2 linked regions of the Oryzias latipes genome follow. The protein of the gene in region 1 interacts with the protein of each later gene in a biochemical or structural test. Links are inferred from orthologs where the notes say so. Each region holds a gene or a part of one and is shown in the gene's direction. Other genes may lie near its edges. The genes, in order: CCAAT/enhancer-binding protein beta and cebpg.

Region 1 (15,041 bases):
TAGAGATTCAGGTGTTAAATTGTTAGAAAAAGAACACAAAATGCTAACAATTTTAGTACTTACTAAAAATGCTAAGTCACCATTTCTTTGAAGACACCCTGGTAGCAAACTGACTTTTCTGTTTAATGCCAAAATAAGAACATCAAGGTTATATAGCTGTTCTGGGTATCAATTAGTCTCTCTTAAAATTTTCTTATTTTTTCTGTGAACTCAGAAGCTGCATATGGTTAGAATTTAGTGGAATTAGCAGTAAAGCATTGAAGTACAGATGATTCACTCTGTCTATATTCTTGAATGTTGTTTTTCGTGGAACCGACCACACCTGTTTTCTTTGTTGTCCTCAAACTCGTCACGTGTGTTTTGGGTTGTTTTGTTGTTAAAGGACATCTTTTCTCAAATTTTAACTTCTGGGTAAGGTCATTAGCTGAATATCATTGTTTTTTTGTTTTTTTTTTGTCCTAAGAAAGCCATCAAAATATCCAGGAGCACAAGTTTCTCCTGTAGCAGAGCCACCCTGAAGCCTTTGATGCAACTCCCATGTTCTAGAGTTTGGGTGGTGTTGTAAGTTGAGTTTAATCAATGAATATTAAGATTAATTTATTTTTGAAAAGGATGCAAAACATTTTGTTAGTGTGCAGCTTTGAACCCAAAGCTCTCCTCATTGCGGATTTTGAGCAGCTTCACACCTCCAAACTCAAACTCAAATTTTAGCTCATTTCATACTTGGATGATGCTCTCTTTTATAAGAACTTTCTTTTTCTGTTTCATTGTATTTAAACATCCTTTTACAAAAAGGCATATCAGTTTCTGCAACTCAAAAGTTATCCCCTTTTTGAGAAGTACAGGGCTGAGCTCCCATTTACACTTTTGAGTAAACAGACTAAAATGACACCAAATTATGGGTCCTCTTTCTAAAGTTTTTTCTTCTTCTTCTTCTGTGTGATTCCTGAAACCTCCCTATTTCATGCTGTGCTTCCATTCAGCTCAAAATATTTCTATGAATATCAAAATATGCTTAACTGCTTGTCTCATGGGTAAATATTATTCATAATAATAATACTCTCAATGGGAGAATGTTTCTGAATTTTGCTTATAAACTTATTTCACGGATGCCCACATTTCCAGTCTCTTGAGAAAAATAAACACCCTTCTTGTGCAATGCTGTAAATGAAAATATAATCTAGAGTACATTTTCTGTCAGTTATGTATTTCAAAAGGTTACACAGCTTTATTCTCTAGATTTGTCACATGCAAACTAACATATTTTTAGTGCTCTTGATCGTTTTCATAGAACTAATAAAGATTTTAGACCCATTAATCACAGCTGTGTTCGTAGCATGGTGGAGATGAGTCTATGGGATGTCATGAAAGTTTAGGTTTCTGTGCTGGTGTCCCTAAGTTCTTCTGCATTTTTGGATCTTGGGTTTTATGTTCTTCTTCACAGTTACATAGATTTTAGATGGTGTTTAATGTGAGTTTGCTGGCCATGATAAGACAGGGAAACTACGGTCCCCAAACATTAAAGGGCTTATATCATGCTTTTCTGACGTCTTTCAGAGTAATCTATATTATTAAATATGACAATATATCACCTTTGGCACTCTAAGAATGATTTTTTAAAAGAAATGTATTATTTTAGTTTATTTTCCTACCCCGAAGTAAGACGACTCGATTTCTGAGGCCCTGGCTTACGTTCCTTGTGGGTGCCGCCCATTTCATGACGTCAGCCTAGAGCCAGCCTCAGCAGTGTCTCCCCCCATGAAAGCAAACAGCATCTGAACTTTTGCAAAGATGGAGTTGAATATTGTGCATATAAAAGGAAAGCCATTAGCCAATTACCACTAGCTCGGCTTAGAAAGTGTTTGTGTGTGTTTGTGTGTCAGCCTGGGTGTGGTAGTTACAGTGCAGACTCTTCCTGGAAGGGGCTGTTCCTCACTTTCATACGTCACAATGTGAGGACCCACTTGTTTTTGTGGATTGGGAGGGAGTGGTGCTCAGAGAGCAAGTTTTTAGAGGAATGGTCAGAGATGTTGATTTTGCATGGGATAGGTCCTTTAAATGATAAGTTGGTTTCATTTTCCTGCAGTCCTTGGCATCTTTTCACATTGAAAACAGTGTCATTTAAAGATAACATGCAAATTCCACTTTTTTGAGCTTTTATGTGTTTTACAATGTTCATTCTTCATTATAAACCATTTTTCTGTCTAAAAACCTGCTCTCTGAGCACCAGCCCCTCCCAACACACAAAAACAAACGGGTCCTGACATTGTGACCTATGAAAGTGAAGAAAAGCCTCTTCCAGGAAGAGTCTGCACTGCCAGCACCACCCCCAGGCTGACACAAAAACACACACTTTCTCTGCAGAGCTAGTGGTGATCAGCAGAACTTTTGCATTTAAGTATTTCTATCAATTGTGTCCCATCTATAATATTTCCCTGGTCTAACAGGTAGGTGTTAGTTACTTTAGACGTTGGTCTCTAATAGTGGCCGGGCTCCTGTAAGACACCTCCCCTCCACCAGGTCATGCAAGGTCGTGCAGACGTGGGGGAGGCTGTGGTATTTGTATTGTAAGCCAGAGTAGCGATGGCCAAGAAACGCGCATTCGAAATAGTGTTTAAACTTCGCGTGGTGGCATACACCAAAGAACAGTCTGGTGAGGAATCTGCGCGGCCCTTTTGGGGTGGATCCTAAACGTTTCAGAGAATGGCACGAGCAGATGGATGATATTGAGAAGACGGCTATGGAAAGGGAGCAAACGATTTCTTGGTGGAGGTACAAAGAAAGCGAGCGATGAAATAGAAGAACTTGTTTTAACATGGATTATTGAGCAAAGACGGAAAAATGTGCACCTCTCCAGGAAAATGATCCACGTGGAAGCAAAGACGATTTTTGATACGGAGATTGTTGAGGCTTTAAAGAGAAAAGAAACGTTTACATCCAGTGCTAACCAGAACATAAAACAATGTTCTAATCAATCAATAAATCCTGAAATGTTCATCTGGTGGCATTTTGTGACCAAATTTCACAGAAATATGAACCCATTAGCCGACACCGGCATCTGTGATGGAAGAAACACCGGTCTCTAATAAATGTAGGATTGGCTGCCAAATATTTGGAATAAACGCTGGGGCTAATTAAGGCAGTTGGACAATATGCACAGCCATCTTTGAAAAATGTGGATATTTGTTTTCAGGGAAAACGCAGGCACGCTGTCAAGGGCTCTAGCTTGGTGTCATGAAATGGGCGGGATCCACAAGGAGTGAAAGGCGGAGTCTCAGAGTTCAAGTCGTCTTTATTCAGGGTAGGAAAAGAGTTCTCAAAAATAACTTATATTTCACAAACAACTTGTTTGTTTGTGTTCCAGAGGTAATATATGATCATAAATATGAATATATTTTGCTCTGAAAGACTTAAGAAAAGGTTGATATAGGCCTTTAAAGAAATCTGTAAATGGAAACTTAAAATGCTTCAGAACTTGTACCTGGACCAAAGAGAGGGTTGCCCTGACCTCAGATCAGATTAAACACGAGTTCCAAAGCACAATAGACTGAGGAACCTTTGCAATGGACCTCAGTCATCTTAAATTTGTGATGATGTTGTTTGTTTGTCTTTTTTTTTTCAGAAGAAAGGCAAAAGTAATTTATTCATAAAAGAGAAATTTAAATAATTGGGGTACAGTCCAGTTCTTAGTCGATAAATTTGCCTAGATTAGACACATCTGATGTTGTTTAAAGATTGGACTAAAAGAAGAGATGTCAAAGTTTGTGGATATGTCTGTGTGCTGTGACTGTTACGCAGCAGTGCACTCCTGGAATCTCCCTCAAATTATTAAATGGGCTTTCCAGTAAAATACCACAAGAGAAACTGGTTGTATTTTTTGGAATGCAGACCGTTTATCCCACATTTTGTCTTTCTGCTCAGCTTTCCATTACTGCACTTGCATACCACACTCTTTAGCAATGACCTTCAATGTCTCCCTCCTTGTTCAGGATGCCATTGATCTTTTCCTGGAAAACTGTTACATGTAAGTTACTATTACCAAAATAAATAATAAAAAGGCTTAAATATTGGAACTCGTTGATATACAAAATATACAGATGTACTAAGCCTTATTTGTATTAAAGGTGTAAAGACTATTTTAAAAATGTCATTGTCATTTTGTCGCTTTATGTACCTGGAAGCGGCTGGATGGCCCGGTTGGCTGCGTGTAAGACTGGCACGCGGGAAATCAGGATTCATTTCCCAGCATCCATTGTGGGTTATGCAGACGCAGGGGGCTCAAGTCCAGGCTGGGGACCCTGTGGTCCGAATAAAATACAAGGTTGTGTCAGGAAGGGCATCTGGTGTAAAACACTCTGCCCAACCAATTGTGCAGATCAGTGATGGCTGATTCTCTGTGGCGTATCTACTGCCAATTTATTTTATGTATTAATCTGGCATGTTTGCAAATTTGAACCGAAGTGTTCCCTCTTGGCTTTTAAGGAATCCTTGTAGGGAATACGTAATTGGTTAAGTTAATTTCTTATTTACAAGATACAAAATAAGTTCATCATCATGTGTAGTCATAGCTGATCCAACTCCTGCAAAGCTTTTTGTAGCCCTTAAAAATGAGGCCTAACAGGTAAGCAACAGGAAGTGCCAAGCAGGTTCATTTGGAATCATCCTTAATCTGCGTGAACTTGTGCTTTGATTCCAGTTTGTGCACTTTTTTCTGTACACTTTTGGCTAAGTTTTGGTTGTCTAGTAATTAAAATTAAGGTAGCCTCAAACAGAAAACTCACAAATGAACATTACTGGAGACTTTTTGCTTTGAACACCTTCATATCTGATAGAATTTGTTATTAGCGCCACCTCCTGGCAATTTAGTAGTGCTTTTGCACATCTCTCTCTCATGGCTGACTTTGAAGAAGAATATGAGCACAATTGGCCACAATTTGTTCTAATTTATTTCTCATCATTAAAAAGGCAAAATTCACTATTTATGATTCATTTGACAATTTTTGTAATCCTTTCTTTCTCATTAAGAAGCATATCCTTGCTGTTTTAAGCCTGAACCCCCTGAAGACAACTCAAGTCTATCAGAGGTCCACACATATTCACATCTTCTTTTACACATTATAAAGAGAGATTTGAGGAGCAGATACGAGCTCAAGTGGAAGCAGTGAAATCTCCACTTACGATTTTAATGATTAGCTTCAGCTGTAAAATGCGATGCTCACTATCCTCTCAGATTTTTTTCCTGTCTGCATGCGTGTCTGAGCTTTGATACTGGCGTAAATGGCGTATATTTATATAGCGCATTTCTACCTACAAGGACAAAGCGCTGTACAGTCACAGACCCATTCATCCAGTCACACACACATTGACACACTGGTGGCCGCTCCGCTGCTGAACACAGGCGCCCGCCCTACCACCAGAGGCAAGGTGGGGTTCAGTGTCTTGCCCAAGGACACTTTGACTCATGGGCGTGCAAGGCGGGAATCGAACCTGCAATCTTACGATCATGGGTCGACCGCCCTCTGTTGGTGGGAGAACATCACAATATTGAACCACAACCAAACAGAATAGATGCATGATGATAACTAAAGGCAAGAATGTCACTGTCCAAAATGGATCATTTTACTTGATTAGTCCTTACTAGTCCAAAAACGTGCTTCATAGGTTAATAGGTTACTCTAAATTGTCCCTCGGTGTGAATGTGAGTGTGCATGGGTGTGTGATTTGTGGCCCTGTGACAGACTGGTGACCTGTCCAGGATGTCCCCTGGCTCCGGCAGCCCCGTGACCCCGAAAGGGACAAAATGGGTTCAGAAAATGAATGAGTCCTTAATAAAGCCAATTATTAATTTTAAATACATATATACAGGTAAGAAGTAAAAATATTACAGGAAACGAAAAGTACATAGAAGACGATCACAGGAGCTCCTCTGTTTTCTTTACACACCACAGGAACTTTGCCTTATTGTTCCTTTTTTTTTTCTCGTATTTTTGTTTTTCAAGTATTTCAAGTTTGTCCTGTTCCCAGTATACACTTTCCACCTTCTGTGATGCAGGTGTGATCTGATTGGTGCAGGTGATGTGAAGACTCAGTGATTGGTTGATCTTAAGATTACAAACATTACAAAAACCCCAAAAATGTTACCTTTGTTTTAAAAAGTTAGCCCATAAATAGATTTAAGTATGTCAAAACTTTACACTGAAACACAGATAACTTAGTTGGCAGTAACGCCCAACGCACTCATGATAGAAATGCAAAGAAAAAGAAAAAATAGTTTATAATTAGTTCATGTACTCTACTTCTCTTAACATTCAGGTGTTAAGTTACCCCAGTGCTGTGACTGGAAGCAGAGATAAAGCAAATGAGGGTCAGTTGTTTTTCAGGGAAGCATTCAATGAGCTCAACAGTTTACCAACAATCCACTTTATGAGAAGGTTCATGAATTTGAAATGTTTTTGTGGCCTGCAGTTCAAATTCCTTTACAAAGTTTGATGTTTCAGTGAGAGAAAGCACTGTTAAAAAAAAGACAATTCTCTCCAAACCTTAAATGGTTTCCTTTATCAGCCTTTCAAAGTAGGTCAAAAATGAAGTTGTGGTTTTTCTGTTGAAAGAGTAGTAGAGGGCAATTTTTTAAAATGAAAGTTAAGCAAAAATAAGCTGTCAGGAAATGTTTTGAATCAAAATGTTGCAGTGGCAGTTCATCAGCACAAAGATATTTTCCACTTTAATGCCCTTTACAGGTACGTGAACGAAAAATGAAGCCGAAAAATAGTGTTCCACACTCACAAGTGTCTCTGATTTGCACGAATATGCAGCGTGAGGTCAAAAACACCCAGTTGTAGCAGATATAGTGAAATATATTCATCTCAGAGGAGAAGGAAACACTTTGAATTTAGCAAACACATGTGACCATGCAGTGTGGTAGAATGTTCTCATAATGTTCCCTTTGGATTATTTTGAGGTGGAAAAACAACAGTGGACTGAACTTTATGTTTTATAACTTATGAAAGGATTATCCATTAGTTCTTTTTTACTTGTTTGTTTGTCTGTTTGAACACTGTTCAGTGCCAAGTATTAGTGGTTGAATTTTTGGTTGCAGATGTCCTGAATCAATTTAGATCAGTGAATCGCATCGAGTCGGATCAACTATTAATCGTAGCAGCAACCACAAATTATGATATGAATCAAATCGCCGTTAAAATGCATCATTGCACCCCTACTCAGAAATGTGCAGCATCAAAGTCACGTGTTTTTGTGTAACATGTCACAGGAAAAATTTGAATGCTGATCCAGAATGACATCTCAGATGAAAACGTTGTCTGTATGTGACGCTATAGGAAGAGAAGGGAGCACTCCCATGGAGGCACTACAGATGTCATCTGTCATTCTGTTTGATGGAGCTGCCTGACAGGGAGCTGAAAGTAAAATGCAAACATCGAAGAAAAGTTGGAAGCAAAGGGAAAACTTCAAACTGTTTCAAAGCAGTTTTAATGGAGCAAGAATTAAACTTAAGCCAAAAAAAAAGGTTTTTCACTCAAACAACAAAAAAATGTATACATTATCAATTTAATCCCTTTGATTTATGTGCGATTATATTCAAACATCAGCCAGGCCTGATGTTAAAAGCCTTTAGATACCATTTGGAGTTTTTTTTTCTCTCCAGTACAGTCTTGTCATGATATTCTGCACCGACCGCTTCCTAACATGCAAGTCATGGTGACTTCAAATGGAAAGTGACTACCTCTGTTTTCTTCAGCAAATCACACAAGAAATGTCACACACGTGTCTTAAAATATGCAAAAGATGCTCGAAGCACCAAATTGACAAGTGCTTGACAAGTAATTTTCTAAATACTCTTAGCCACACGGTGGCAGTAAATCCCAATTTGCAAACCAGTTTCTCACCAATAAATAAATTGTAGGTATTTCTTCTCAATCTACGTGCACGTTTAAAGCAAACGTGTAATTCTTATCTGATCTTATTCAGAGTCAGTTTATTTTTGGGGCCTCATGATTGTCCAGGAGAGGCTTCTATTTTGTTCTTGCTGTGAGTCATTGGGTCATGCTTGAAGTCATGTTGTGGGATAACACTGATCCCACGAGACAGTCACATCTGTCTTTGACGACAGTGAAATGTTTCTGACACAAACCAGCACAGTGATGGATGGGGATGTGTGCATCACTTCCACAACTGTTCATTTTTGTTTTGGAAATAATGTGTTCAGAGATGTTTTGATTACAACTGAATGTGATTTTCTGCTGCAGGAGTTAAGGAAATGTGTCCAGAAAGGAGCAAAGTAATTATTTATAATAACTTGTATTGATGCTTACTGACAAACAATGAAAGACTTCACTTTAAATAGACAACAAGTCAAGTTCAGGTTTTCGTTTGTCCCGACATAAACAGATGAATGCGGGAAACGTTCTCCAAAGTGGAACAGGTTGTTCGCTGACAGGCTCCGCTCGTCACACCTGCCCTGTTAGGCCCCGCCCCCCGCGCTGTGGAATAAAACCCTCTCGAGACAGGAAGGTCTGTCAATTCCTCCCAATCCGCCACAGAAAAAAAAAGTTGCTTCTTGTTGTTGCCACATGAAGTGACGCGGGTGCTTTCAGCTCGCTGCATTCCGACACGTTTTCTCCAGTTACTCAGCTGAACTTGAAGAACTCGGGGCGCCTCACCTCAGCCCTGCCCGCTCCTGCAGTCCGGCGGGAGTGCAGATCCATGGAAGTGGCCGGCTTGTACGAGGAGGGAAGCTTTGCTATCCACGGCAGAGACGGTATCATCAGTCCCATCGTCGGCGGCTCGTACTGGCGGCTCGGTGACTCGATGACGGAGCTGGGCATTGAGGAGCGGGAGAGAGCGATAGACCTGAGCGTTTACCTGGACCCAGCCTTCCACTGCGCGCAGCTGGCGGCGCAGACGCAGCCGCAGGGGGACGCGTACTCTGACTTTCTGGCGGAGAGCAAGATCAAGAGAGTCTCAGCTCTCCAGAGCTACAGGAACTACTCTTTGCTGGGCGAGCTGGAGTCGAGCCAGTGCGACCCCCGGCAGCCCTACTCGCTGGGCTACTCGGAGCTGCAGGAGACGCGCGCGGACAGCGTCCTGAGCCCCGAACTGAGCCGCTACAGAACCGCCGCCGCAGCCGCCGACAGAGACGACAACCTGGAAGACGCCAAGATGGAGAACGGCTCGTCCGGGTTCGACATGAGGTCCTATCTTCATTACCAGTCCACCAGCAGCAGTCTGGGGAACATCTCCACTGCGTCCTCCACCTGCTCCAGCCCGCCCGGCACACCTGCGCCCTCAGGTAAAGGCAGGTCACCGTCTCACGGCGGCAAGGGGAGCAGCGGGAAGTCTAAAAAACGATTGGACAAGGACAGTGAAGAGTACAAGCTGAGGAGGGAGAGGAACAACCTCGCCGTGAGGAAGAGCAGGGACAAAGCCAAAATGCGCAACTTGGAGACTCAACACAAAGTGCTGGAACTGGCCGCGGAGAACGACCGTTTACAAAAGCGCGTGGAGCAGCTGTCTAGGGAGCTGGCCACGCTGCGCAACCTGCTCTCAGCAACTGGACAATGTTAGGTACCCCCCTCCCACGAGAGAACCCCCCTGTGCCGCTCCCTCAAGTGGACTGGAGAGTGCACGGTGATCCAAACGGTACACAGGTGAAGGCGGCCATCCCCAGTTTACAATGGACACTGAATAAGACTGAACAAGTGGGTGCATGGATTGCGCAACCGTTCACCACTCTTTACATGTCACTGTGGCTTTTTCCTCACATGTAATGTTTGTGTATGCAGTATTTCTGTGCAGGTTTTACATACATACATTCATACCCTTGAATTTCTAGATTTTTGTGTGTGTGTGTGTGTGTGTGTGTGTCTGCAGCAATGGCTGTCAACGGGGAGAGTTGTGCTGCAGTGAAATGATGCAACTCTTTGTAATAGTATTGGCAATGAATGAAATAAGTCTAATTATTTAAGATTTAAAAAGGTGAAATGCTTTAATTGTACTTGACATTGGATTAAATAGATTTATACTTTGTTTAAAGGAATTTGCACGCTCTTTTCTGTCCTTTCCTCCGCAGGTTTAGGGTGCAGACAGGCACACAGACATGGGCGTTCACACTCAGACTCACACTTAATCCGTTACAGCATATTGCGTTGAGGAAAACGGCTGTTTTTATAATCCAGGTTTGCGTAAAATAAACTACAAATCACGAAAAGAATCCTACAGGCCTTTAAATATTTGAACCTTTGTTGCACAAAACGTTATTAATTAATCATACGTATTTCATTATAAAGTAGAAAATATAGTTCTCTGTAGTTAAAAAGCTTTAAAAAATATAGTTTGGAATCTTTTTAGTCATTGGTTTTTGTCAAATTGCACTTAAAACAAACATCTCTTGCAGATAACCTTTTACACAAAACACAACCTAACTCCTCACACTCTTTTTTTTCCTCTTTTTAAACAGGTTCATTTTCGTTTCTGTTTATTTTAAATAATTGACGCATTCTCCCAAGGGTCCTAAAATAAATCAAACCCATTTATGCTGAAATGATACTGCTGAGAGGGCAGAAAAGAGTCGGTCGCTGCACGCAGCACAGAAGTGTTGGCTTTATCTTTAGCACAGGGCTCTGTCAATAGTCTGCTGGGTCCACTGGCCTAGAGAGGGGTTCAAGGTTGCACAGAAATTAATCAACAACTAACCTCATCACACCATTTCAGGTCACGCTCAGGCAGCAGAGACCTGGCTGACGTGACAGATGCCTGTTAATCCTTTGCAAACTTTTATATTTTAAACCAAAGTTGAAATAAAGAAAACATTAAAGTTTCCTTTAAAGTGGAAGGAGCAGATAAGCTCACAAGTGGTGGAATTTTTCCAGGCCGTCAGAATGTATTTGACTGGTTTGAATCGTATCAGGCAAGCACACCCCTGACGGAGCAGATAAACAAGAGACGTGTGCAGCCTTTTCTCCTTTTTGCATCACAATTTCTTTTAAAAGCCGCAAAAAAGTCAGCGCACGTTCAGTGAAAGAAGCCTGAAAACTGCGCTTTGCTGTTTGTGCAGCGAGAGATGACATTTTGGATATTTCAACACACTCAATGATAAACTGTTTAGCTTTAGAATTATGCAACATCCTCCCTTTCCAACACATCACCACAAGAAGAGCGATGCTTGAATACGACATTGTTATCCTCTGTCTGTCTTACAATAGCTGTAAGAAGCTGTGGTTTGGTTTCAGCCTCACAGGGCAGAAGAAACTGAGTAAAAAACCAAGAACACATTTTTTTTAGCTGAGTGTAAAATGTAAGCTCAGTCTTGAAATGATCACACAAGCAGCGGGATGTTTCAGAGAAACATTTTTGGCTCGCCGTGCTGCTCCTGCGGTTTTCTTCAACGGGCCTGTCTTGGCTTCAAACATTCTAGGCATTCTTTCTTCGATGACCCCTTGTTAACTATTGGCGCTGCATGCGGGCCTCCTCTGCTCCCAGCTCGCATGCTGACAGGCCAGAGGGAAATTCCCATACAGGATGACCTCTGGAGAGTTTAGCCCAGCCTTCCTTTCCACATCTTACTGGCAATGGGCAGTGTCTATCTGTAAACTCTTCATTGCATCACAACCCCCCCTCCAAAATCGTCCCTAAAAACAAAAACTCCCAATAAAGCAACACACACGTACACCTATCATCCTTTTGTCCGCTTTGTACTGGTTACGAAATAGAAGAAACTTTTCCTCCCCTGAGTCATGCTAAGATGAATGAAGAAGTTCCTCAAGCTTTGTTTTGGTGATTTATAAACACAATCTTATTTTTCACACATTGTTCAGGAGTTACACAGAGATAACAAAGTCTATTATTCAACTTAAGCCCAAATATTTAAAACAGTGTTCAGAAAATAGCTCTGGGCACTTTCACAATGTGCTGTTTGGTCAGTACCATATTTTGTTTCCTCAGGTGATCTGGGTTTTTAGGGGAGGTGTGAAAGTTTACTCTTATGTTGATCAAACGAGTTAACTGTGTTCACAATTCCACCTTACGTTTTACTCATTCCACTCCCGCTGTACCATATGTGACAGTACCTCTTGAAACCACTAGGGGCAGGTTACAGAGGAGAGCAGTTTTCCATTGAAATCCCTGTTAAAAAAGCCAAAACTTACACCAAAAGTAACAGTAAGATTTTTTGCTAATTGTGACAAATGAGAAAGGTATGAATAAAAGAATTCTGATTTTATTAGAGCTCAATTTTTTTTTTTTTTTTTTTTTTTTTTTGGTGGGGGGGCATGTTTTTTGATTCTATGAAGGCAGTAAAGCACTAAATAAGTTTACCATTTACCAAAGCTGCTTTAGGGTCAAACCAACAGAACTTCAATGTTTACTTTGTCCCACCCAAAAGCTGTTTTTTTTTAACAATGTTGAAGTGAGCCAAGTGAACTCCAATTAACATCCCCTTAAAGTCCCATTCCGATCATCTTAATCTATTGGAAAATCCTTCCCAGTGGTTTCTTATTTACGTTTATTTAATTTTTATTTCTAAATAAAAAAACTGTGTCGATTTCTATGATATAGTTTCTGCAGAGGGGCAGTAGTTGATAATCCGGTTATTTGGGTCTATGGTTCACTAGCAAGTGTACTGTGGGGTGTTTCAGCAAAAGTGTAAACGCAGATGGACTCTCCAGCTGACTAAAATGTGGAAGCAAACCAAAATAATCCATGGCGTAAGCACTGTGCATTTTCAGTTGGGGAAAAACACAGCCCCTAGCATGAATCCAAGGAAGTGGCAGTCAAAAACATGTCATCTTAATAAATAGGTTGTTGCAGAAGTGAAGGCACTCAAATAAATCTATGCAAGTCTAAAGACTAACAGGACTAACCAGTTTTCCCTCTTTTGCTTCCTCATCGCCTTTTCCTTTTAGGCTGCTCCCTTTAGGACTCGCCACAGCTAATCATCTGCCTCCATCTAACCCTCTCCTCTGCATCCTCCTTGCTCACACCAACCACCATCAGGTCCTCTGTCATTGCATCCATAAAGCACCGCTTTGGTTTTTCCTGGTAGCTCCAACCTCAGCATCCTTTGACCAACTGTCCCTTTTTTTCAGTGTGTCCAAACCATCTCAATCTGCTGTCCTGCATTTATCTCCAGAAAACCTAACATGAGCTGTTGTTTTCATTCTTCTAAGACCTTTTTGTCGCACATCACACCCAAAACCCTCTTTCACTCTTCCAACCCTCTTTGCAGACATCTTTCCTACACTCTCTGTTCCTCTGGACAGTTGACACTCAGAACGTTAAATCCTCCACCTTCTTCCCCCTTCCCACTTCAGTTCTTCTCATTTATGAACAGATTCTCTGCGGCTGATCTTAATTCCTCTCCTTTCCACAGCAAACCTCCACCTCTTTAGATGTTCCTCCTGTATCACCCTATGCGCCTCACTTTTTCTGGAAAAATGTTCGCCACTCCTTTTTTTTCATTCTTTTGGTGAAGTTCACCACCATCTGTCCTCCTGCATACCTCTCCTGAACACTATCACTTCCTCATCTACCCCCCCCCCCCTCCTCCACACGTCCATTAATGTCTGTCTAATCACTGGTCTCTCCCCTCTAGAACTTCTCCTTCTCCTCCAGCTCACATCCTACTTGATGACCATAAGACACATCATCCAACATCACACCTTCAACTCATCTTCCTATCTGACCCCATGTTCAACTCCAGAACATTTTTAGCAAACTCCTCCTTCAGGATCACTCCCATTCTGTTCCTCTTTCCATCCACATCATGATAAAAACAGCTTGAACTCTGCTCCCAATCTATAAGCCTTGTTCTCCTTCCATCTGGTCTCCTGAACACACAGGATATCTAATTTCCATCAACTCTCTAGCTTTGCCTGTCAAAGTTCAAACAGTTTTTAAACTTCTGCCTGGATGTTTTTAATGATTGATACACTTTTTTTTATTTTTAAAGAACATCAGTATTAGTCATTTACTAAAAAGTGATCCTTTTAGAGCAAAATGCAGATGACCTACAGAGGAAATAAGTGCCACTCTAAATATCTTTTCATCTATTTTCAGTGGTCTCTCAATTATGATTAGGCAGTTTTTAGCCCAACTCAAACTTGTGCAGAGCAGAAGGCGTTCATTAGAAATTTACCTCTAATGTGTAACTCCTGTCACAGAGTAAAGCATGTCCCCACTTCCCATCATCCCTTTGTTGACACTTTTAGCCAGCTTACAGCCTCCCACTACTCCAAGCTAACATTACTGGTGCAACAATTATGGTGAGCATGGTGTAGATATCCAGTCGTTCAGTTTTGAGCCAATGAATCTATTTGTCTGTAAGTAGATGCACTGAAATGGAGCAGAGCGGGGAGCTTGAGGCATCCTGTTGTATTTTTTTATTATTTTTACATCACAACTACAACCTTCAAACTGCAGTTTTCGTCTGCTCCTGATTCACAACGATTTGAATACAAAAAAAATCTCAGAAATGCAATTTTCAGCATATTTTTCTTTATAAATGTCCTCCATCCTTAAAGCAATGAAACACAATTTTCATCAGAGTGGGTCTTTAAAGAAATACTCTGAACTTGTGACCTGTAAAATTGCCAGATCATGAAGTTGTGCAGAATCCTGCAGTGGGGATTTGGATCCACCTCAGAGTTATTATCTTTATCCTGTGACGAAATGCTTGTTACCCCTTAGCAGCCAAGATAATCAGTTGCCAAAGAAGACAGAGAAACTTAGCATCCAAGAAAGAGACAGTTTATTAATGCATGATCTTTGTGGAATTTCTTCATAGCGAGACACATTTAAAACATCAGCGGTTGTTTTATTAGGAAAATGAATGACTGTCCTTCCAAAAGTGTGTCCTGTTTTACCCTGTTCAATAAAGGTTTAGTTGGTAATCCTTAAGGTGCTAAAATAAAAGTATTTGCATTAAAGTGAGAGCTTTCTGATTCCCCTTCATAAACAGTACTGCAAAAGTCCTTGCAATAGGACCTTTGCAAAAAGATTTCCTACGTTTTGGAGACTGTCTGACCTTTGCA
Region 2 (15,629 bases), on another chromosome or scaffold:
TGTTCCCTCTGGATCTACCTTCATGCAGTCTTCTTTTTGTAGTTTTTCATATTTTGATACAATCTTTTTGTTCAACCCATGGAATAAAAGCTGAAAGTCTGCACTTCAATGGCATCCGAGGTGTTTTATTTCAAATTCACTGTGGTAATGTACAGAAACTAAATTAGAAAGAATGTGTCTCTGTCCAAATATTTATGGTCCTGACTGTAATATCCAAGCAGATTTTCTTCAAACTGTCAGAGTAAATCCCAAAGTCTCATACTTAACATCACACAGGAACTTCAATCTCAATTCATTTGACAATATCTCAGTTCTTTTTTTTACTTTTCTGGTTGTTGTTTTTTTCTTTCTGGTTTTTCATCTTCCACCATAACTTAGTGATGAGAGCTTTGGTGATCCAACATCATGAGCCGCCTTCACGTAGGCCCACCACTCACAGGAAGAACCACAAGGGCCAGTCCTGTGGGACCTGGGGAGTGGTCAAAGACGGGGGCTTCAATGCCCCATCCTCCAGTGATGGATTCAAGCCATCAAGACATGGAGGGTCGCCTCAGTGAGCTGGAAAGAACCAAAACCTGTGCGGGAGGCCGAACGGTGAGTGCCTGGAGAAACCTGGGGTCACCTCCACCCACAGTTTGGACTCTGAAACCCTTTAAGACCGGGAGACGGATGGAGCGGGAGACCGACAGGTGGATAGGTGCACAAACCTTTCGGTCTGTTTGCTGTGTTCCTGTGCAGGACATCCTGAGGCAGTGAGCCAATCAACTGAGAGGAAAAATGACTCACATTAAGCGACTTCCCCTGAAATTCACAACCAAAGTCGCCTTAAAACCCAACAAAATTAAAAAACATCAAACTGAAGGAAAATTACAGCAGATTTGAAATTTTTATTTTTCCTTTCAAATGCTTTCTTTATGTTTTTAAACATTATATTTGACTCGTTGTCCGGTGTCAGAGCTCACCTGTAAACAGGTGTAGTTGCAGGACGGTTACAAACAGTGCCTCGTGCTGCAGGTGTTTAACAAGATGGTCGTTGAAGGCATCACAGTTTCACAAGAGTGATCTCTAACGTAAAGTCGAACGTGTTTGAACGCATCTGAGCAGCCTCACGTTATATAAACAAAACCGTCGGGACGGCCGTCAGCTATTGGCCTGTAGGCATGCCAATCACGCGGTGCATTGCGTCATCTTGCTGTATGTCCAGCTGTGATTGGTTGAGAGGCCTCTACGCTGCGGAGGGATCGACTGCGATTGGCTGTTCGCTGACATTGCCGAACATGGTAAGAGATTTCGCAATCCGCTCCTCTCCATGTTCCAAACAAAAACAGTCGGAGCTCAGACCGACGGAATAAACTCCAACTTTGCCCCACAACCATAACCGATTCCTCGGATGGTCGGCTCGACCAACGCCCAGTGAAGGTAAACTGTGTTCGGGCTTTTTTACGGAGGCGGAGCGGCGAGCTAGCGGTCAGGCTAAAGCTAGTTAGCAGCGGAAGCTAACTGGCTACGTGAAAAGACCGATTTGAGAACTAAATGCTGTATTTTGGTGTTTGATTTCGACTGTTCGGTGAAGGAAAACGGGGTTTCGACGGAGATGAGACATCTGCCGGTTGATTCTGTGACACTAAAAGTTGTTTGAAAGTGCCGGAAGTGAAAGTGTCGGACTTGGATCAAAGTGTTCGGGTCCGGCTGACGTGTCGCTCGTGTCACGTCTGTTGTGGAAGCTAAACAAAGTGTCCTGAAAAGTGGGTTTATGCTGAGCCCCGCATGACTCCGGAGTTCCCCTCAGTCGGCACAAAGACGCCCGCTGACGATGATGCAATAGCAGGCAACCAGCCTGGCCGCTCACCCGAAGCGCTTTCGCTGCGCACAGCTGACCCGCTGCATAGCAACGCGACAGCCAATCAGAACGAAGCGCTGGATTAAAATCAGAGCAATCGTCCAATGAGAAACGCGGCTCTGAATTTCGTTCCTTTGAACGTCACCTCGGTGGGAGGGTCAAAGGAGGTGATGAAAGCAACATGGATTATTGATAAATGATCGTAAATGCCTAGAAACATTTGGTTAGGCGGGATTATATGTTTGACATAGTTTTAAGATAAAGAGAAATTAAAGGTATTCATAGAAAAAAGTAAAACCACTCCTAAAATGTACATGTAACTACAAAACAATGCAACAAATAAAAGAACACATCCATGATTTGTTGTGAATGTAATCCACTATAATAGCTGCTGACAGCTACTATCAGCAGAGCATCACTTCATCACATGGTTTCAGTCTGTCACTTAAAAATATTATCTAATGCTATAATAATAATTCAATAAAGTGTTGAAAAGTTAAAAGTTTTAAGTATTTAGTTTTATTTTTGTACTTTTTTAAGTCCAAAAATGTTGGGATCTTTGTAATTCCTGACCATTTGCTGAGGTAATTCCGTACCTTTTGACGCGGTTTGCCCTTTATTGTGGTCTTTATAACCTAGTATGGAGTTTTTCCTGATGGTTCTGGAGCTTCTGCCATTGAACCCATGCGGTCAGAGCAATGTTGTTGTGCAGAAGGGAACTTTTGAAGCCGTTTGTTGAAGTTCTTCAGATGCGTTAGTATTTACGAAGGCTTCCACGCTCATTTAAAATTCAAATTCACATGAATTTCATTTCTATAGCACCTTTCATGTAAAAAAAAAAAACAGCTGAAGGTGCTGTACGTAAAAACAAATAGGAATGCAGAAAAGACCAATCCCTGTTCATGCAATTACATAATTAAAGAAGCCCCGCACAATTAAATACACAAAAACAAACTCAAGTAAAAGAGAAATGAGGAAAGAAAAAAGCCAAAAAAGAGAGAACCCAGAAGGCGCCGTCTGGCCTGTCCTCCTATTGGCCGGGGTGTCAGCATAGACACTAACACCCCAGCCAAGGGGGAGAAAACACTCGTAAACAGACTAACTTGGATCAAAGACATGAAACAAATAAATATCTGTTAGGCCTGCACAATATACCGCAAATTTATCATTATCGCAATTTCAAGCTGTGCAATATGCATATCGCAAAAGACAGCAAATTTGCAATAAATGGTTACCTTAGATGTGGCCAAACAATCTTATGGCAGCTTGAAGTGTTTAACGGACTGAAAGAATCGCTTTCTGCATTTGACCAATCAGATGGACCCCTTCACGTTGTTAACTAATCGGATGGCGCCCTATTATGTTGCATGTTCGCCTCCTATGTCAACAAGGGTCATTTGTAGTATAATTTTTAAGCTGTTGTAATGGAATGGGAATAATATTTTTGGTTGTTTTGCTAATTGTTTATATACCGCAAATTATATCGTTATCGCAATATTAATCACTGATATCGCATATCGCGAGTTTTCCTCATATCGTGCAGCCCTAATATCTGTTAAAATATAAGAGTTACAAAAAGTATCATTTAGTGCTTCTCCACATGTCACCATCTTCAGCTGAAGGCGTTTTCACACGAAATGCATCTTTACATCTGATGTATGGATTTCAGTGATTTGGATTTATACCCTCAGCTTGCATTCACACTGAAGTGAACCGTACCAGAGTTCATCTGCAGAGCTCTCTGGTTTGCTCTTTTATTTCGTAGACTTCTCACATTTCTGGATTTTGAGGGGAAAGTATTTGCTCTAAAACAAAAAAAATGTTCTTTTTAAAATTTGAACAAAAATAGAGGAGCAGAGCTTTGCAGATAAATGCACTGACGAAGAAAGTGGGCGTGGCCCTTTTCTTTTGTAAACAATACAGTCCCTGACAAAAGTCTTGTCGCTTCTCCATTTTGTAGAAACAAAAGCCTCACTGTTAATGAATCCATTGGTTTTAGAAATGTCTCATATGAAAGCTAAAACCCTCCCAAATTATGTTCAATATGGTAAAATAAAATTGCTTCACTGAAGAAAGATTGATCAGTTAATGAACTTTCATATGAGACATTTCTAAAACCAATGGATTCATTAACAGTGAGGCTTTTGTTTCTACAAAATGGAGAAGCGACAAGACTTTTGTCAGGGACTGTAGTCCAGAGCTTCATATCAGAACGACAAAAATTCAAACATCTGTTAAATATTCTGATGTTGGTTTGTCTGAAACGCCATCAGATCTGTGATTTAATTCAAGTCACGTTGATGGAATCAGGCAGCACTAAAGGCAGCAGAGTTACTGATGATGATGTCATGTGTAGGACGATTTCAGGCTCTGTCCTGTTTTATTTCTGCCCTTCAGCCCACCCTTTCTGTTCCTTCAGCATGCATTCATGCTGCAGACCCCCCACCCAGACAGAGAGGTTTTCACAGATCCACTCTGGAGTTTGATCAGATTCAATTTCAGTCTGACGCAAAGGAGCAGCAGGAGAAATGACATCATCATCTACATCCTGACATGTAACCAAACAGAATAGGATAGTTTCCCGCCTGCGGTGTGGGCCGCACGGCTCCCCAAAGCGCCGCACACTTCAGGTGAACCTGGGTGGAGGTTACTCAGCCACCGAAGTTCTTCTGGTCTGTCAGCTTTGGATCTAACGTGTCCTGCAGCTCAGTCCCAAACATCCCAGAACTCCTGAAGAGGATGAGCAGTTGCTCAGACTCTGGAGGGGTTTCCATCTCTTCAGACCAGCTTATCCGTTACTTTTAAACGCTTCAGGAGCCTGAACGGTGCTTCAAAAATAAAGGGTGGGGGGACACACTGACTCTCTCTCCAGAAACAATAAAGTGTGATGATGAGGCAGCAGGACCGGATGAAGGAAAGCTGCTTTAATGTGACAAAGAGGCTTTGGTTCATGTCTGCACCGCTGCAGCCACGCTTTCTCACACGGAAGTAAACCAACGCTCCTCGCCACGGCGTGGATCTTTTTCAGAGCGTTGTTCTCATCCCTCTGATCCATCAGGTCGCTAAACTACAATCTAATACTGGGAGGTTCTGCAGAACTTTGACCCGCTCTGCCGACAGCATTTTAGCCGATTAGCCTATTAGCCGCTGAGCTTCATTTATTCTGATCTGAGCCGCTAAAAAGCACAGCAATCCGTGTTTTTCTATGTTACCGGCAGCAACACGGCAGAGTTTCTGTTCGGTACCATCCTAAGTAGAAACTCAGTAGTTCATGTCTGATAACAACAGAACCAGCTGCTTCTAGCTGAGGTCTTCCTGTAGTTTTGTAGAGCTGCTCAAAGAGGCTCCATGTTCTCTGCTGCCAACTAGTGGTTGGAGGTTGAAGTGGACAACAAGAGGCAGACGCTGAAGGACGCTCAGAAATAAATAAATAAATCTGTTCCTGACAGCAATTTGAATCCATACAAGTGTCACCAAATGAACTATCGCCACATTTCACCTTATGGATATTTTCTAACACTCCTCCTGTAGAGCCCTGAATTTTAAAAGCAGTTCAGACACATGACGTCATGGATTTCACAAAGTTTAAATTTAATAGATATGAGCTCTTTGGGACGATGATTTATGAGTCCACTGTCTTCTGAAGATGAATCGTTGATGATTTATTAAAACAATACTTTTTTTTTTGGCAAAAATTGTTCCAACGCAATGCATTGTGGTCTATATTGCATTGATGCATAGTGGTTTTTCAGAGACTTCTGGGAAATTTCTAGGGCCCTGGATTTTGGAATTGTAGATTCAGACAAACTAGAACATGGAGAACGCTCTGTATAGGCGTTAGGGTGGGAATTCGGCCACGTCTTATGTGTAACTGGGCCCACTAGATGGTTGTCATGGCAACATCATGAGAGGGCGGAGCTGTTACAGAGAAGTGAAGTGAAGTGTTTCTGGGTTCTCTATTGGCGGTCCTCAGGTTCTGAACTTCTCTGTTCCTCAGGCTCGCTGCAGCTGGACCGCCCCGCCCCGCCCTGCCGCGCTCCGCCCCCAGAGCCGTCTCTCCACCTGAGGAGATCAACTTAACAGCTGCGGAGGATCCAAATGAGCCGGCCGTCACAGCCGAAACACACCACAGCTGACCACAACGGCGTAAGCGTCATCCAGAGCCAGACCCACGCCTCCTCCGCCCTGCCGGCCGCCGCCGGCGGACTGCAGCAGGTCCCACAGCTCATCCCAGCCAACCCTTCCGGCGCGGGCGGCAAGGCCCTCCCCCCAAGCAAGATGAAGAAGCCCCCGGCAGACAAGGACAGCGAGGAGTACAGGCAGCGGCGCGAGCGCAACAACTTGGCGGTGAAGAAGAGCCGCATGCGCAGCAAGCAGAAGGCGCTGGACACGCAGCAGCGCGTCAACGAGCTGAAGGAGGAGAACGAGCGGCTGGAGGCCAAGATCAAGCTGCTCAGCAAGGAGCTGAGCGTGCTCAAAGACCTCTTCCTGGAGCACGCCCACAACCTGGCCGACAACGTGCAGCCGCCCGCCGGCACCGGCGGCTCCAGCCCCGCCCCCAACAGCACTTCTGCCAACGGCCAATGAGAGGCGGAGCTTCAGGGACATCAGGAAAAAAGCCTCGTCTCCAGGGCAACAATGCTTTTTCACCCCAAGCCCCCTCACCTGGGACTTTCAGCAGACTGTCCAAGTGAGACCACAGACTGAGGCCCCACTCACAGGAAGTCCCTGTTTTTTATGGTATCCCTTCAAAATAAGAGTTTTAATCTGTAGAACTTCACTACATGTTTACGATGATCGGACGCTTCCGCTCATTTGAAGAGCAGACGGGCGGAACCAGACTCCTCAGCTTTGTTTAAATCCTTTAAACCAGCCGGGTCGTTAGTGGTCTGCTGACGCGGCCTGAGCGAGGGGGCGGGGCTCAGCGGGCCGCTCGCACACTGTAATCAGGGGTGTGGGGTGTTTGCCAGGAGCACCCCTCCCCGCAGGTGTGGTTCTGTCTGAGCTCGGGCCGTGTCTGTGCAGGTCTGAGCGGCACACCTCAGTGGACGGACCCGGATCGCCGCCGCGCTTCAGTGGAGCCAGAACCGGCCTGGCTGCTGGCCCGCTGGAGCCTTTTTCACTTTTCTATCCTCGTTTTTTACTCGTCATTCCAGCAGCAGCATGGTTTGAACAGGAAGTGTTTGCATGCCTGTGGGGGTGGGGGTGGGGGGGTCAGGTCCTCTCGGTTCTGCTCGTCGTCACTCTGCTTTTTTTCTATCAGCACATAAATGTGGTAAATTAAACGTGCGTGTAAAAGTTGAAGTGCTTCCTGTTTCTGTCATGTGACCTCTGATGTCATCACCGCCTTTACCTGAAGACAGGTAACAGCCACTTCAGATTCACAGGGTTATTGTTTTTAGGGTGAACGAAAACCAAAGCTGTGAAGGAGGTGGAGTCTCCATGAAGCTGGCCACGCCCACAAGACGTTGACAGATGAACCGTTTTTGATGAACTACAAATGCGTCGTAGAAAAACGAGCTTCTTCTTCTGGAGCAGACGTTTCTGTGGAGAACCAAAGGAATTGGATCGGTCAACCTGGAGACGCTTTTGCAGCCCATAGGGAGAGTCGGTTCTGGTCCGGAGTTCTACCCGCAGACCCGAATCTATCTCCCTGAAGGAGCGGAGAACAGCAGCGGTGTGTCCCGGTTCTTCTGGTTCTGGTCCAAACTCTGGCTGCAGCGTTCTGAAGGAGCATCCAGCCTGAAGGGGCGTCTCAGAACCCCACCTGCAGTGGGCAGAACCTTTGATTGACAGGCTGTGTCGGCCGTAGGAGGTGTGGATCGATGGTGGACGTGAAATGTTTGTGTTTTGAACTTTTCCTCTGCAGTTTCCTTTGGTTCCTCCAATCAGAGACGTTCTTCAAAGATAAAGTCCCACATTTGGTGTGTGACATTTGTTCCCCACATGTGACCCTGCAGATCTGAGCTGGAGACACAGCCTGGATGTCCAGTCACAGGCCGGACACTCTACCACAAGGCCGCTGAGCTGGTTCTTCACCCGGCTTTTGGGTTCTCTTCCTGGTTTCAGCAAAGCGGTTCTAGTTTTTCTATCATAAGGATCAACAGACTGAAGAGATGCGCTCCTTAAGGATCCTGAAGCGGTTCTCACTCTGATTTGATTTGATTTGTGGAGCTTTTGGTGTTTTTTACTCGTGTTTTAGGAACTGATTGAGCCGCAGAAGAGAATGATTGAAAATCGGTACCAAACCAATCAATGGCGGAGCAGCAGAAAGTGGGTCATGTTGGTCCGGTTCTCTGGTCTCTGCTCTGACTTCCTGTTTCTCCAGAACACATTCCTGAACCCCCCCCAGAACCTCATGGTTCTGACCCGTAAACCTCCAGATTTCTCTTGTGGGGCTGCAGAGCCTCAGAACTGTCTTATCAGAGCGTGGAACATGCGCTCAGACGCTCGCCGTGTGTGCGCTCAGATAAGAGGCGAGGTTATCAGGCGGAGGTGATGAAGCACCTCCAGCCGCCGGCCTTTAAAACCACAGTGAATGATTGACGCCATGACCTCATCGCCTCTTTGTTTGTTGCTCTGGCGAGCGGTCAGACGTCTCTGCCTGACACACAGCCGCCGCTGCAGCCAGGTCTAAAAATAGCCGAGGAGGCTCGGAACCTCCTCCTCTTCATCATTCAGGATCAAAGCAGCAGGTAGATTTTCAGCTGTGCTGCAGCAGCGCCCCCTCCAGGCGGAGCGGAGCGGCAGGGGTCTGGTTGAGCTCCAAACCGTCTTCTGGAACTTTCCCAGACGTCTGTCGGGTTTTCCTGCCGGCCTTTGGACCCGGCGGCGACTCCGATAAGAAGTCCAGACTTCCAGGTATTTAATCAGAGGAGCTCCGCTCTTCTCAGTATCTCTGGAGGCTGCACACCTCCTCGCCACCAGGCATCTTCAATACGGGCTGACGGAACCGGGTCACAGGAGAGGATGTGATGTGACAAAAGCCCGGTTCTCCATCTGACGTTCTCACTAGAGCCTCATCCACAGACGGACAGAACGTGGGAAGACCAGGGTTTGAAGAGGGTTCTGCTCTGTTATTGAGGAGGAGGCCACAGCCATAGAAGCACATCCACTAGATCTGTCCTGAAGAGCCTCCTGTCAGTCAAAAGACCACGCCCCCTTTGCTTTAAGGCTGTTTTACGTCTGCAGCTCCATTAGACGGCAGCTTCCTGTAACGAGATCTGAACATCCGCCCAGCGTCTCCTGATGATCCAGACCCTAAGCAGACCTCCACGGAAACCCCTTCCATGTCTGTCCCAGCCCCGTGATGCTGTGACGTGTGGAAGAAGCGTCCGGTCACACGGTACACGGCTCTGTCATGAAGGTCCCCGTTTCCCTCTGAAGCAGGAACAGACCAGGAGGTCCTGAAGACAGGAGGAACGGTTCTAGAGCAGGACTGTGGGAACCCAGCAGAACCGGACTGGACTGAACCAGCCTCCAAGTATATTTCTGTGTGTGTGTGTGTGTGCCTGAGTTTGTGTGTGTATATTTGTGTGTGTGCCTCTGAGTTTATGTGTGTGTGTATTTGTGTGTGTGTGTGTGCCTCTGAGTTTGTGTGTGTGTGTGTGTGTGAGTTTGCGTGTGTGTGCGCCTCTGAGTTTGTGTGCATTTGTGTGTGTGTGCCTCTGAGTTTGTGTGTGTGTGTGTGTTTCTCTGTGTGTGTGTATGTGTGTGAGTGTGTGTGTGTGCCTCTGAGTTTCTGTACATTTGTGTGTGTTTCTGTGTGTGTGCTGCCTTTCTCTCAGTCTTTTTCTTCTGCAGTTTGCAATCTGCTCTTTTTTTTCCCACGATGCTTTGCTTCCGCTCCACGTTGGCAGACCTGAAATCTTCTAAAGCTTCAGATATAAAAATGAACGATGACCTGCTCCTCCGACGCCAGAACGGATTTGCTTGAAGTCGGCCTCCTGCGAGATTCTGGCAGCGTTCTTCACGCAGAAACATCTGGAAAACGTGTTCTGGACTCGCCTCTCCTGCAGGAAGATCCGTGCACGGACGCTCAGCTGCAGCCTCCAAACCAGACGGATGGAAGGTGACGTCACAGCTTAACGACAGAAGAACTGGACCAGAACCGTCTCAGTCCGGGCTCCTGTCATCGGACACGTCAGGTCGATGGCAGAACATCTGTCTGTTGAATGAGGAGGTGATGTTCTCCTCGTGTTATTCAATAGACCGCACCCATTAACCGCGGCTCACACAGACCAGAACCATGTTCCAGAACCATGTTCCAGAACCATGTTCCAGGACAGAAACGGACCTACTGAATGAATCGGCTCCATCCTCTTCCAGCAGGAAAAGGTTCTCACGAGAACCTACCTGATGCTTTTGCACCCTAGTGGTCATTCCAGGAACTGCACAGAGTTGTTTTCATGGTGGGTCATTTCTCTTCGCTGAGGTCCACCTCGTGGTTCTGGCTGATCCAGTTACAGCAGAAGAACTGGGACTGACCTGAGGCGAACAGAGGATGAACCTCAGCTGGTGGATCCGGATTGGTTCTCAGATGTTTCCTGAGGAGGAGGCCGAAGGTGAAAGCGATTATTCTGGGATGGATGGCGAAGCTCTCGGAGCAGCTGTCAGACCTCCAGACGTCTGTGAGCAATCAGAGCGGCAGTGATTGACGGGCCGGGTCGGGCTTGTCAGGAGGAATTAGGTGTGCGGATGGGAGCAGGATTCATGGCGGAGGCCGTTAACGTCAGCGGGAGTTTGGCAGCGGCCCTCTCCACGCCGCTGATCGCTTCCAGGCCTCACAACTCGTAAACAAGATCAACGCGGGCTGCGTGTCAGCGAGCCGCAGCGGCGGGAACGCTGACACACGGTTTCAGAACCGGAGACCGGGTCAGAGGGCCTACCAAGACCTGGACGGACAAACCCCTCCTACAAAAGCAACACTCTGTGTGTGTCTGCGGGCTGTTTTGTGTTGTTTTGGAGGCTTTGTGTTCTTCTCAACTCAAGTAGTTGTCCTGAGTTTGTGTTTAGTTTCATTAATTTGTGAGTTTCCTTTTCTCTGAGATCCTTTTTGTGTTAATATTGTCTATTAGTTCTGGTTTTGTGTGTCTGCAGCAGCTGTTTCTGCTTCTGTCAGAGACGACCTTAACCGCCCCGCTAGGCGCTGTGATGCTCTGTGTGTGTGTTTGTGTTGGTAAATGTGTTTTTTTGTTGTTGTTTGTACTTCTTTTTTGTAAATTCCATGAACCAGCTGTTGGAGGGTCACAGCCAACCTTGAGCATGCTCAGTGTGGATCTGTTAGTGTCTCCGTGTTTTTGTGTAGTTCCAGATGGACGGAACGATGATTTATGAAACTTCTTTTGGTAAAAACAACAATTTTTTTCTTTCAATTTGAAAATCCTTTCTCACTTTCTGTGGGAAAGATCGGAACGTGAATTCCAGTGTTTGCAGATGATCTGGTTCTTTTATCTTCATCATCACAGACCTCCAGTTCTCTCAGAGCGGTTTGCTGTTGGGACCAGGTAACCTCCATGCTTGAGGTGACGGTTCAGAAAAGGTTCCAGGTCTGGACCGAGTCAGAAGTTGAAGTACCTGGACGTTCACAGGTGAAGGTTTGATGTAGCGTGAGGTGTGATGGATGTGTGCGTCTGCTGTCATGGTTATGTGGTTCCGTTTGCTGTGGTGGACAAACATCCGAGTCTGAAGAGAAGATCTCGATGTACCAGCAGGCCTATGTTCCCACATCAAGTTGTTTTTGTACACATTCCTTCTCGTCTCGTTCCGACCTTCACCCTGACCACGACCTGTCCGTCATTGATGAACGGTCAAATGCTGCACATGGAGGCAGAAACGTTCTTCCTGCGGGCCGCTGCACGGCCAAAGCTGCATCTTAAGTCCATTTCATTTAAGACCAAATCATCAGTTTTTGGTTTTATGGCACCAACGAGTGAACTTCTCCTTTTAAAATGTCTCAGCTGTAAAAAAAAAAAAAATCAGCCTTTGATTAAAAATGTTTAGTGTTTTTCATGCTGTGGCAGTAAAACTGCATGTTAGATTTCAAATGTTTCCACTGACATAAACTATGTTTGCTACATTCATGTTTGTCCGGGTCGAGTCTTTGGTATATTTTAGTGTCATCTGCGTAAAGTGACAGATGAAGATTTCATTCATGAAAATTGGGATCTGGACTCTAAAACTTTAAAGTAATCATGAAGGGAAACTTGACGATTTCCAGAGGACTTATTCATTTAATGAAATTCATGTTATGATTTTAAACATGTTTGGAGTTAGGATTTGTAGAGTTTTAAGTAAGTGAGACGATTTCTAAACCAGCTTTGAAGTCCCGTTTATTAAAGGTGTAAACATAAAATAAAAGAAATCATCAGAATTTAGAATTCATCAGGAAACAATAAAAAAAAACGTAAATCTGAATTTTAAAGGAAGTGTCATAGTGTTAACAAATGTAGCCCACAGCACCCCCTGCTGGTAGCTCCCTTACTTTGTTCAGTCTTAACAAAACGCTGATAGTGTTCCAGGTCTTTCAGGGCTGTTCTGCCGTCTGCGGCGTTATCTCCAGGCGACCCGGACACGGCCAGGTGGATGATAGCTGCGCGGCTGCCGCTTTGTTTTATTGTGTGCCGTATCTCGGTCATTCCAACTGTGATAGAACACGCTGTCTGAACCCTGCGATAGCGAGGCACCGCTATGGCAGGCCATTTTAACATTAAAAGGCTAGACTGGATGTGTGTTGCAGATATCTTTATTTGAGTTTTGCCTAGTCAAAAAGAACATTTCAGATATCCGCAACTACATTCTTCCTATCCGTAATCGTAATTTTAGATATCCTCAAAGATATTATTCCTAGGACAAATGACATCACTTTCACCATTCATTTGTATGGGGTTTACAATTACAGATATCTACAATTCAGTTGCAGATATCCACTTCATGAATTACGGATATCTGTAACTGAATTGTAGATATCTGTAATTCAAGTTTCAGATATCTACAATTTCATTCTTACTAGTCAAAACTCAAGTTAAAGATATCTTTAATTCAAGTCAATTTAAGATATCTACATGTTCCTTTTCAGATATCTTAAATTAAGTTTTGACTAGGCGAAATGACGTTGTAGATATCTGTAACTGGAATTGTGACTAGTCAAAATGACGTTGTAGATATCTCAAACTGGAGTTAGGGATAGTCATAATTTAATTGTAGATATCTATAATCAAGTTACAGATATCTTGAAATGAAATTTGAATAGAGATATCTGAAACTTGAGATATCTGTAATGTTCATTCAGGATAGTCAAAATGTAATTACAGATATCTTGAATTAGAGTTTTGACTAGGCGAAATGACGTTGCAGATATCTGTATGCAAATTAGGTCCGCATCGCACTTTAGGGGAGGAGCAGAGCGTGTTGTTGTAATCATTTAAATTGCACCTGCTAACTTGTAATTAGCACTGATTAGCACCATGTTGCAGCAGTACGACGGAGTTTTAGGACTAGTTTACAAAAAACGTTTTGTTTTCTTTAATTACAACTTTTATCTCGTAAATTTAGGAGATAAAAGTGTTGTGGAGTGTGTGTGTGTGCGCGCGCGCATGCGTGCGTGTGTGTGTGCTGAGATGGGGGTGAGTACGGAGCGGAGGTGTGTGCGTTGATACTGTGTGTTCGGAGGACGGAGCACCGTAATAAAGAGAAGGTGTCCCCCCCCAGAATAACTGTTTTGGAGTCGTTCTTAATCCGCACTGGAGGTTTAGGGTTCCGATCAGGACAGTGAACCCCGAGGAAGAATCGCCTTCGGCGGAGGAAATCTCCCCTGCGCTTCTGACAGCGGTCGGAAAGAGAGAAAAGAAAAGAGAAAAACACCAAGTCTTCCGTTTATCGGAGCCTAGCTTTATTTCCGGATAGCTTTAACCGAAGTGATTCTGAACCTTTTGGCGACTCAAAATCAGATTATTGTCAGTGGAGCGGGCTTTCCGGGGTTCGGTGTCGGTAAAGCGGAGTTTTATGTGTTTAATAAGGAGCTCAGAGACACGTGTGGGTGCAGAGAACCGCTGCAGCCTTTATTCTCCTTTTCATTCACATATCCTGAAGTTCATCTGTCACCTTATGTCATGAACCTGTCATCCCAACACCAATGCAGAAGTAAACAGTGTTACATACACCTCTCCTCCAGATGAAACGTCCCGATCCAACATAAAACAATAAAGAGGAATGAAAATAGTCTGTTATGTTAGCATTACAACGTGGAAAATGCCAAAAGTGCTCCTCCACAGACGGAAGCGTCACAGAAACGTAGAGATCTTGTCTTTAATGGAGAAAGAAAGGATTCAGGTGGACATCTGCAGGGACACTGACGGCTTCGTGCTGCAGAGATCCTGCAAACCACCCATCAATGAATAAAACATGAATAAATCATAAATCAAACTAACGAATTTCCAAACATTTAGAACGTTATCAATAAACATTCAGCTCACCTCTTCAACAAAGTTTAGTCGGTCTGCTGCTGCTGTGTGGCGTTCACCTGCTGCTCATCATGCTCACTTCCACTTAATATCGTAAATTTAATTTAGGACTTAAAATCTTTTAATTTTACTGTTTTTGGTGGCCCTAAATCTCCGTCGTAGAGCAGCCAGCGGGCGAAGCGATTTTTAATCGTCTTTTTAATGCTGCAGCCCGTGCAAGACAGGAGGAGCCAGTGATGATGACGTTTGAGATATCTTTAACTGTCATTCTGCCTAGGCAAAACTGAATTACAGATATCTACAATTGTCATTTAAGATGTGTGACGAGTTGAATGTCGTTTTCAATGACGTCATTGCAGATATCTGTAATTCAGTTTTGACTAGGCAAAACTGAATTATAGATATCTCTATCGGTCGTTTCAACTAGTCACAATTACGTTACAGATATCTTGAATTACAATTCCAACTATCCAAAATGTAATTACGACTAGTCAGAAATACGTTGCTGATATCTACAATGTTCATTCCGGATAGTCAAACTTAGCCTTTTGATGTTAAAATGGCCTGCCATACACCGCCCTCCTCAGGTGCCCTCTGGTCACCTGACAGACGAGCTCACAGGAACATGTGACCTGCAGTTCAGCAGGGTGACGTCACCGGCAGCTTTTACGAGCTGAACGAGACCGGTGGCAGTAAACTCCCACACGGTTAAGGTCTTTGGATCTACAGAACCGCCCTCAGCTGCTCTGCTGCATGCAGCCGCCACCCTCCTCCTCGGCTCAACTCCCACCTCCGCCGGAGCCAAACCTGGTGGAGAAGGTTGAGTCCAGGTGTGGACTGGCTCACGGTGTGTCAGGCTGAAGAGTTTTCTGCCCTGGTTGGTGCCATGATGACATCAACGCATCGTCATGTTAGCCTGTCACGTGACAGGACAAACCGCTCCTCCCAGTTGTTCTCCTCCTCCCATTGGTTCTCCTCCTCCCATTGGTTCTCCTCCTCCCAGTTGTTCTCCTCCTCCCAGTTGTTCTCCTCCTCTCTTTGGTTCTCATCCTCCCATTGGTTCTCCTCCTCCCAGTTGTTCTCCTCCTCCCATTGGTTCTCCTCCTCTCTTTGGTTCTCATCCTCCCTTTGGTTCTCCTCCTCCCAGTTGTTCTCCTCCTCCCAGTTGTTCTCCTCCTCCCATTGGTTCTCCTCCTCCCAGTTGTTCTCCTCCTCCCAGTTGTTCTCCTCCTCCCATTGGTTCTCCTCCTCTCTTTGGTTCTCCTCCTCCCATTGGTTCTCCTCCTCCCATTGGTTCTCCTCCTCTCTTTGGTTCTCCTCCTCCCATT

Evidence for each region.
Region 2: the proteins of CCAAT/enhancer-binding protein beta (region 1) and cebpg form a complex in vitro, tested with the Homo sapiens proteins (2 studies listed by BioGRID and IntAct, with this or other methods). The link is inferred for Oryzias latipes from reciprocal best matches to the Homo sapiens genes CEBPB and CEBPG.

Annotation. Positions count from the first base shown.
Region 1 is NC_019865.2:21,866,794-21,881,834, reverse strand, and holds CCAAT/enhancer-binding protein beta, read left to right. Parts: upstream 1-8,522; 5' UTR 8,523-8,718; coding exon 8,719-9,579; 3' UTR 9,580-10,051; downstream 10,052-15,041. UniProt on the Homo sapiens protein: Important transcription factor regulating the expression of genes involved in immune and inflammatory responses. Also plays a significant role in adipogenesis, as well as in the gluconeogenic pathway, liver regeneration, and hematopoiesis.
Region 2 is NC_019861.2:37,761,292-37,776,920, reverse strand, and holds cebpg (CCAAT/enhancer-binding protein gamma), read left to right. Parts: upstream 1-1,171; 5' UTR 1,172-1,280; exon of another isoform or gene 1,281-1,419; intron 1,420-5,837; 5' UTR 5,838-5,938; coding exon 5,939-6,427; 3' UTR 6,428-7,144; downstream 7,145-15,629. UniProt on the Homo sapiens protein: Transcription factor that binds to the promoter and the enhancer regions of target genes. Binds to the enhancer element PRE-I (positive regulatory element-I) of the IL-4 gene. Binds to the promoter and the enhancer of the immunoglobulin heavy chain.